Macaca mulatta: one gene and its partner. The protein of the gene in region 2 purifies or fractionates together with the protein of the main gene of each other region. This does not show direct contact. Links are inferred from orthologs where the notes say so. Each region holds a gene or a part of one and is shown on either strand. Other genes may lie near its edges. The genes, in order: SIRT5 and GLS.

What was found.
Region 1: the proteins of GLS (region 2) and SIRT5 purify together in Homo sapiens (affinity purification with western blotting; 3 studies listed by BioGRID and IntAct, with this or other methods). This does not show direct contact. The link is inferred for Macaca mulatta from reciprocal best matches to the Homo sapiens genes GLS and SIRT5.

Annotation. Positions count from the first base shown.
Region 1 is NC_133409.1:169,519,527-169,523,337, forward strand, and holds part of SIRT5 (NAD-dependent protein deacylase sirtuin-5, mitochondrial), read right to left. Parts: intron 2,180-3,811; coding exon 2,092-2,179; intron 738-2,091; coding exon 684-737; intron 1-683. UniProt on the Homo sapiens protein: NAD-dependent lysine demalonylase, desuccinylase and deglutarylase that specifically removes malonyl, succinyl and glutaryl groups on target proteins.
Region 2 is NC_133417.1:95,919,363-95,923,900, forward strand, and holds the start of GLS (glutaminase kidney isoform, mitochondrial), read left to right. Parts: upstream 1-1,574; 5' UTR 1,575-1,818; coding exon 1,819-2,204; intron 2,205-4,538. UniProt on the Homo sapiens protein: Catalyzes the first reaction in the primary pathway for the renal catabolism of glutamine. Plays a role in maintaining acid-base homeostasis. Regulates the levels of the neurotransmitter glutamate, the main excitatory neurotransmitter in the brain.

The DNA of each region.
Region 1 (3,811 bases), on a different chromosome or scaffold from region 2:
GCCTGTAATCCCAGCTACTCGAGAGGCTGAGGCAAGAGAATCATTTGAATCCAGAAGGCGGAGGTTACAGTGAGCCAAGATCGCGCCACTGCACTCCAGCCTGGACATCAAGTGAGATTCCATCTCAAAAAAAACCCAAAAAAACAAAAAAACCCGCAACAAAAAAACCTCTGATCCAATTACAGATTATAGAAGTGCTGTTTTAATGTCTGGTTTTGAAAAATTGGCATCAAAATCTTCCTTTTTTTTTTTTTTTTTTTTATCTATGAACATTCTGTTGGGTCCTGTAACCTCTCCTATTCACGTCCTTTCATTGCCTCCTTATTCATTGCCTCCTTAACCATGGATTAATAATGCCAGTGATGTTATTTGACCAGTTATAGGTCAGCCCATATGCTTTCTGTACACTGGGTAACCACCTGTCACACAACAGCTTCAGAAACTTTCCCGACCTGAAATGATCCCGCCAGAACACAAAGCAAAAAGGGGTTGGAAAGAAATCATTTTTTTCATCCTACTTTGGTTCATCCTTTGTCCTTTCACTTTTGGTCTTAGAGGTCAAGGCTAGTTTTCACATTTGTGCATTTGATTTAAGAGGCATCTTGCCAAATACATGTTTAGATTTTGATGTCTATTTTTTTTGTAACCAGGAACACTGGTACAAATCAGAGCTTTTTACCCACCGGGGAAGTTTCTCAACTGGGATGCTGGCATCTTGAGTTCCAGGTTCTGGAGCACTGAAGCAAATAATATTAGAAAAGAAAGATTGTTATTGGCATAATAAAAAATAAAGAAACAACATAACTCAGTTTGTATATTTGCCTGGTAGTATGTGGTGTAAAACTCCTAATTAATACATGCTCACTTGGAAGGGCATTAGAAGGAAGGACCCCAGGCCATTAATTACCAGTGGTACTGGGCATAGTGGCTCATGCCTATAATCCCAGCATTTGGTGAGGCCAGAGTGGGAGGACTGCTTGAGGCCAGAAGATCAAGACCAGCCTGGGCAATATAGTGAGACTGCATTTCTACTAGAAATACAAAAATTAGCTCAGTGTGGTGTGTGCCTATAGTCCTAGCTACTTGGGAGGCTAAGGCAGGAGGATTGCTTGAGCCCAGGAGTTGGAGGCTGCAGTAAGGTGTGATTGTGCCACTGTACTCCAGCCTGGGAAACAGAGCAAGACTCTGTCTCAGAAAAAAAAAAAAAAAAAATCACCAGTGGTTGTACTGCCAGTGAGAGAATTCCTGTGTAGGGAGGGCTGGAGTAGCTGGGTGTGCTAAGAGGGAACTTCATGTTTACCTTTATACATCATCATCATTTGTATCCTCTGCAATGACATTATACATTCCTTGTATAATTTATACTGTTTTGAAATGGAATTTTCCTCAATATTGTGTCTACCCTCAAATGTTTCCCTTATTGTAATAATAGTGCTTGTTCATCATAGAAATGTAGGAAAATTCAGAAAGATATAAAGAAGAAATTAAAAATTACCCATAATCCCTCCACTCCTGATATTCCTTGTTAATATTTTGTTATATTTTCTTCTGGTCTTTTAACTATATGCAGTTATACAAACTCATGTGTGTATAAATTCAGGACCCTGTGGTTTTCACTTAACACTGTAAGTTGTGAGCAAAATATTTCTTTTATCACAAGGCTATATTTGTTTTTTTTTTTTTTTGAGACAGGGTCTCCCTGTCACCCAGGCTGTGGTGCGGTGGCATGATCTCAGCTCACTGCAGCCTCGACTTCCCAGGTTCAAATAACCCTCCCACTTCAGCCTCTCTAGTAGCTGGGACTACAGGCATGTGCCACCATACCCAGCTAATTTTTTTTTTTTTTTTTGTAGAGACAGGTTTCTCACTATGTTGCCCAGGCTGATCTTGAACTCCTGAACTCAAGCAATCTTCCCACCTTGTAACCCCAAAGTGCTGGGATTACAGGCATGAGCCACCGCACCCAGCCTTGTATTTAGTCTTATTTCTCATATCAATGGGAATCTTTGATGAATGTTCAATTTCCTCACATTTATGTCCGACCTAAAGGAGAAAACAACATATACTTATTCTGTAGTGTGGTATAATTACCCTTTTCCTGATAAAGCTGGACAAATTGGACTCTTGTAATTCTCAGCCACAACGCCACAAGAGGTACATCGAGTTTTAAATAAGCTACCTGAAAAATACATATGAAGGAAATCCAGAATTTAGTCTAATCAAGAGCAATCATCTCCACATCTGAAAGGGTGTAAGATACTTCACTTTCCACACTTCATTTCATTTTCTGGTCTCACCCAGTTACCCCGGCTGGAGTATAGTAGTACGATCATAGCTCACTGCAGCTTCCAACTCCTGGGCTCGAGCGATCCTCCTACCTTTGCCTCCTGAGCAGCTGGGACTATAGGTGTGCACCGCCACACTGAGCCATACTTCATTTTAGCAAATGGGCCTACCCTAGCTTTCATGGGAAACAGAGGCATGCAGTACTCTTAAGCCAGTCAAGAACATATGCCCTCAAGGACTTTATAATCTGGAGGAAAAATAACTAACTCCATGACTAACGTGCCGTCAGATGACCTTGGAGTGGTGTTCAAGTGGGCAGAAGTGGCCAATAGGGTAGAGGGAGCTCAACGTAAATCTGAGGGCATGATTTATTGATATGACTGATAAAGGTTCAACGGCATGGGATATGTTTACAAAATCTTAACTTTGATTTCAGAAAGCTTCAATCTTTTATACAAAAGCACCTCAATAAATAAGTAATCAACTACTAAGTGAAAAAAGTAATTGTTAATACTAATGACTACTTATTGAGCTGAAGGGGGCCAGAGTTTATGAAATGGGTACTAGGCACCTGGTACCATGCAGAGCACTTTCAACCACGGTGGACATGCGCTGCTCCGTTCTGCCCCCGAGTCCTTCCTTCGGGACCACCATCCCTGCTCTCTCGCGTGCTGAGCCAATAGAGCTGTGGGTCACATCCCAAATACAAGTTCGGCCACATGCTCCACACGGCCCCCATGTGGGGCCCATCCCTCTGCAGTCATGTTTGGTCAGAAGGGTGGGCATGTGGACCAAGCAAGCCCACCCAGAGGTTTATTTTCTGAGCCGGTGGCTGAGCTGGAGAGCCTGGAGCTGTCGGAGGCACTCTCCCCTGGCACGTGGAGGCAGATCAATTGCAGAGGGAGAAGGGAGGCCACCTCAAAGAGTGAGTAAAGCTGAGAGAAGGAGGGGGCCAGGGGCCAGGAGGAAAGATGACACAAGCTGCACCCCCAGGCTCCTCGGTTTTGTCAGTTTTAGTATAGACGTTTTTCCCCATTTTCACATCTCTGAAATTCAGATGTGTCCTGCAATTGCTACTAGCCAGATGTGAGTGTGACATCACCATCATGCTTGCACAGACTTGCTGAAGGAGAACACTGAAAAGTGGGGTGACTTGGTTGTTATTCTCCATGGCCTGACCAGGCAGATTCAGCCCCTGGATCCTTCCACCAACAAACCATTCAAGGGCCGCTTCAGGAAGGAAAGCGGGTTTTGGCTGTTGTCTACAGCCTTTCCACTGATGGCCTCTTGGTAAGAGTATGTCAGGCCCAATAGCGAACCTGCGGAAGGTATGCCAGGAGCTTGCACGAGAATCGCAGCTCTAACAGAGGGGCATTCTCTCTGGAAAGGCCGCATCATCCATGTCCTGAGGCACAGAGCATGAAACTGCATGGAAAACACAGACATCCATGCTCTGAGACACTCAGAATTCAGAAGAGCTAGATAATGAGAAATATTTGGACCAGTTTATTATACTCATTTTAAC
Region 2 (4,538 bases):
ACACATGATAGTTTTTTCCATGTTCTTCTGGTTAAACAGCAGATAGAAAAAAAAAAAAAAAAAACTTAAAACACAGCAAGGCTGTAACATGCCAAAGGTCAACATAACCTGTGGGTACAGCCAGATTTCCTAATTATTAATCTATTAAAATATTTTACAGTTCATTAGATTACTAAATCCGGTGATCAATTAATGACGCACCTGACATACACCTTCTAGTTTCATAAAATCATCTCATTAGGCTGGGCGCGGTGGCTCACGCCTGTAATCCCAGCAATTTGGGAGGCTCAGGGGGTGCGGATCCCTCAAAACCAGCCTGGGCAACCTCGCGAAACCCCATCTCTACAAAAAAAAAAAAAAAAAAAAAAAAATTAGCAGGTGGTGGCTGAGGTGGGAGGATCACCGGGGCCCCTGAGTTCAAGGCTGCATTGAGCCGTGATCACGCCACTGCACTCCAGCCTGGGCGACAGAGTGAGACCCTTTCTCAAAAGGCACACACACGACACAATAACGACACACCAACCCCCAAAACATCTTACTAAACTCCGTGGATCTACGCCTTTTAAACCTAATTGTTTCAGGAAATCGTCTAAAAACATTTTTTTGTCCTGGAATGGAATGTGTATGTAGGCTCAGGGAACAACTCAGTTTATCAGGTTCTTGGCTCTTTCTCCACAGGTCCAAAAGGATAAATGGATAAAGTGATGCTGAAATAACTTAGAGAACCCGTATTCCAACGCTTCTATTTTAAAAACAGTGAAGCAGTTTTTAAAATAGAAAAGTATCTACAATTTTGCTTTCAAGCAAACTAGCGTTAACGGAGTCATTGCTATTCAAAACTATTTTTGAAGTATCGGTGTACATTTAAAAATTAATTTTTAAAAAGCTGTCGTTTTCTGGATTCCGCACCGCCCCCATTCGTCGTCCTCCCCCCACCTCCACCCTCCATTGGCTTAAGTCACATAGCTGAAAGGATTGTGCTCATTTTTTCCAAAACATTTCACGTCTGGGTAGTAGCCAATCATGGAAAGTTTCAAGCAAATGTTACATTTGGGAGAGGGATGAAGCTCGTCCGGGGCTGCTCTCGGAGGATTCGCAGATGCCCTGACCTGGGAGCCAGATGCGAGCTGGGACCGGTCAAGCTCCAACAGCTCGGCCAGACTCAGCCCCGCCAAACCTGCTGACCTCACAGCCCTCGGCTGCGGGGGCTCTCGCCCATGAGTCTCCCCAACAGCTCGAATCCCCGGAGCTGAGGAGCCCATCGCTTCACAAATGCGAGAACCCAGAGCCCCTAGTACCCAACTAGGCTAGCCTCGGAGTTGGCACCGCGCGCGGAAAGCGGCTACTGAGGAGCCGGGCCTGGCTCAGCCGCTGCACACGTCAGTTTGACTCCTCTCCCCGCTCCCCACCAATCCCCCGCCCTACTCTCCGCGCACCCAGAGCCGAGAGAAATTTGACTGCCCTAATCGCCAATCAAAAGAGAGGTCGAGGATTTCAGCCAATCGGAACGGGCAAAGGGGGCGGGTCGTCGGCGAGAGCCGAATGTCTCTAGCCCTCCCCTGCGCTTTAGCCTCAGTGCAGAGCCTTAGGCGGTGTGAGGAGAACCGGTCGCGGCGAACCTAGGGACCAGCAGCAGCAGGAGCAGCAGCAGCAGCACCCGCATCCGCTGCGGGAGTCCGAGCCAGAACCACACCCACGTCGCTGCCCTTTCCTCTTGTCATTTCACTGCCCCGCCACAGACCGCGTTCCCCGAGGAAAGCGGCAGCCCACGCCCGGAGCATCCTCCCCTGTTGAGCGGCCGCTGACGGACCCGGCGGTATGATGCGGCTGCGAGGCTCGGCGATGCTGCGGGACCTGCTCCTGCGGTCGCCAGCCGGCGTGAGCGCGACTCTGCGGCGGGCACAGCCCCTGGTCACCCTGTGCCGGCGTCCCCGAAGCGGGGGACGGCCGGCCGCGGGCCCAGCTGCCGCCGCGCGACTCCACCCGTGGTGGGGCGGGGGCGGCTGGCCGGCGGGGCCCCTTGTGCGGGGCCTGTCCAGCTCTCCCTCGGAGATCTTGCAGGAGCTGGGCAAGGGGAGCACGCATCCGCAGTCCGGGGTGTCGCCACCCGCTGCCCCGGCGGCGCCCGGCCCCAAGGACAGCCCCGGGGAGACGGACGCGTTTGGCAACAGCGAGGGCAAAGAGCTGGTGGCCTCAGGTGAAAAGTGAGTGTCTCCGCGAGGCGCAGGAGGCCTCATTCCGCTCGGGGCCCAGGCTCGGGGTGTGTGGGGACCTGCGGTGGGGCGGGATAGGAACCGAGGTTCTAGAAAAGAGAAAGAAAGAGGTGCCGGGCGGCCTGCGCCGTCTGCGCCATGTGATTAGGCCCGGCCCCGCCCGAGCCTTCCCCGCCCGCGTCTCTCCGCCAGGCTCCCACTTCCCTTCTCCGCCCCCGGCGGGGGTCGCCCGGGTGGGGCCGCGGTGGGGCCTGATGGGCTCGCCTGGCGTCCTAGCGCAAGAGAGGCCGCTCCCCTGCCCGCGCCGCGTGCTCAGCTCCCTGGCTCGCGGCTGCAGCGCCTGGCCGCCCGCCCCAGCCGTTCGTGGGCGATGCCGCACGAACATCTCCACCGAGTGACATTCAGGAGTTGGGCTTTCAGCAGAGCCTTTACCTTCCTGACTTGTCGCCTTTCCTGGCTCGTTTCCGCTTTGCCTGCCCTCCCTTGGTTTCTGCCATCATCCCGTTGGAAACCAGATGTGACAGAGAGCTCTTTATATTTCTGAAGTGGCTACATCAGGCACGTGTAGAGCCATCTGGGGCACCGGAAACAATGTTTCAGAAGTGAGATTAGGAGGAATCGGGTTATGTGGCCGAGAAGATGGGGCACACAGTATAGACCACCTGTTTGCATTAGGGACCAGCTTTGGCCTGTCAGGTCTTCCGTGAGATGGGGAGATTTTTAGAAATAAAAGTTAAATAGCCAAGATGAAATGTGACATAATACACTAACTCAGTGAAAAATCTGAGTTAAGTAGGTTTTGTGACTTAGTTGTGATAGGATGTTGACTCATCCTGTATGTGTACAGCGCAGTAGTTTAGTCTTAAAGCAAAATTGGTTTTTCTTAATATGCAAAGCAGTCTCCTAAATATTTTAGTCTTATGTAATACAAATGGACCACTTTGTTTTCCGAAAATGGGTAAAAATTTACCGGCCTGCTTTCATTATACCTGTTTTTCTGGCTTTGTACGCTGACACTCTAACCTGTTTTGCTTCCCTTTTATTTCTGCTGCTATTTCCAGCTCTAGAGTTCCAGCTCTAGAGTCAAACTGAAAGTGAGAACATTCTTATAATTTCAATCTCACGCCTGCTTGATGTTTTCCTGTAATTGAAGTTGGGACCTTCCAAAAACTTTCGTGAAGTTCTTCTCCTATACTGAAAAAGATTATTTGAAAAAAGCACTTGATGAAGGGCGAAATTTGTGGTATTTTGTGATGTTGGTTTTGTGCCACGAAATAGCGTCCTGAGCATGGACAAGTTATTTAATATCTTAGGTTAGATGACTTAAATCCTTTCAAGTTCTGAAAAGCTATACTCCTGTTAAATTTGTACTTCTCTCATGTTTTAGGGACTAGTATGATACTTAATCTTATCTGGGACTCACTTTAACATCATCGGGTTTACCAAGCAAGTAACGAGTTTACATACAAGTGCCCAAGTTACAGAATTGCAAAATGCAGTCACTACCATTTAAAAGTTAATCTTAAAGGCTACAGGATGGGAACTGCTTTCTAGTAAAATTATGTCTTCAGGTCTGTGTCTCTGCAGTGGCTCTAGTGCCTCTCCTTTTTCCCACTTGTCAAATAGGAAATTGAGCTTCTTCTGTGATTTACTTGTCCAGAAGTTTCTAGTTTCATTGCCTTCTTAATACAAGTCACCTTTTAGCAATGGCCTCAAGGTTGTGAAGAAAGTATTTTAATTGGTTAAAGTTTCTATTTCCTGGATGATCTGGTTTCCAAATGTAGCTTTCCTCTTTTGGCTCCTTTCATTTTGCCTTTATGTGACAAACATTTCTCTTATCCTGGGAGATAAGCTCCCAGTTGATCCTGTTATCCTTTCTAATGCTTAGCCTCCAAAGCATAGGTCATCCCTCAATCAGCAGTCCACCTGGTATGCTAGCACTCACTCAGGACTGTGCCAGATTTTATGTAGTATTATTAAGAAATAACCATGAGAAAATTAAATTAACATTTTGTAAAAGGCTTAGAACAGTATTTGGCGTGTGTTAAATGACACATAACTATTTATTAAATAAATGAGAAAAAATTTCTGCTTCATTTTTGTAAAGCCTGTTAAAGAGATTGACCTTTGAATTTCAGGCTTGCACATGAAGGTTTTTAATGTTTTTAGTTTCCATAAAAATGTTTATCTTGAGAAATTGCTATACATCTGTCTTATATGAAACTACGTGAGTTGCACTGTTTACCTTTTGCTCTGTTGATAAATAAGTTCAGAGTAACTTTGATGCTTAACCACACCAATTTCATCAGTTCACATGACTGAGAT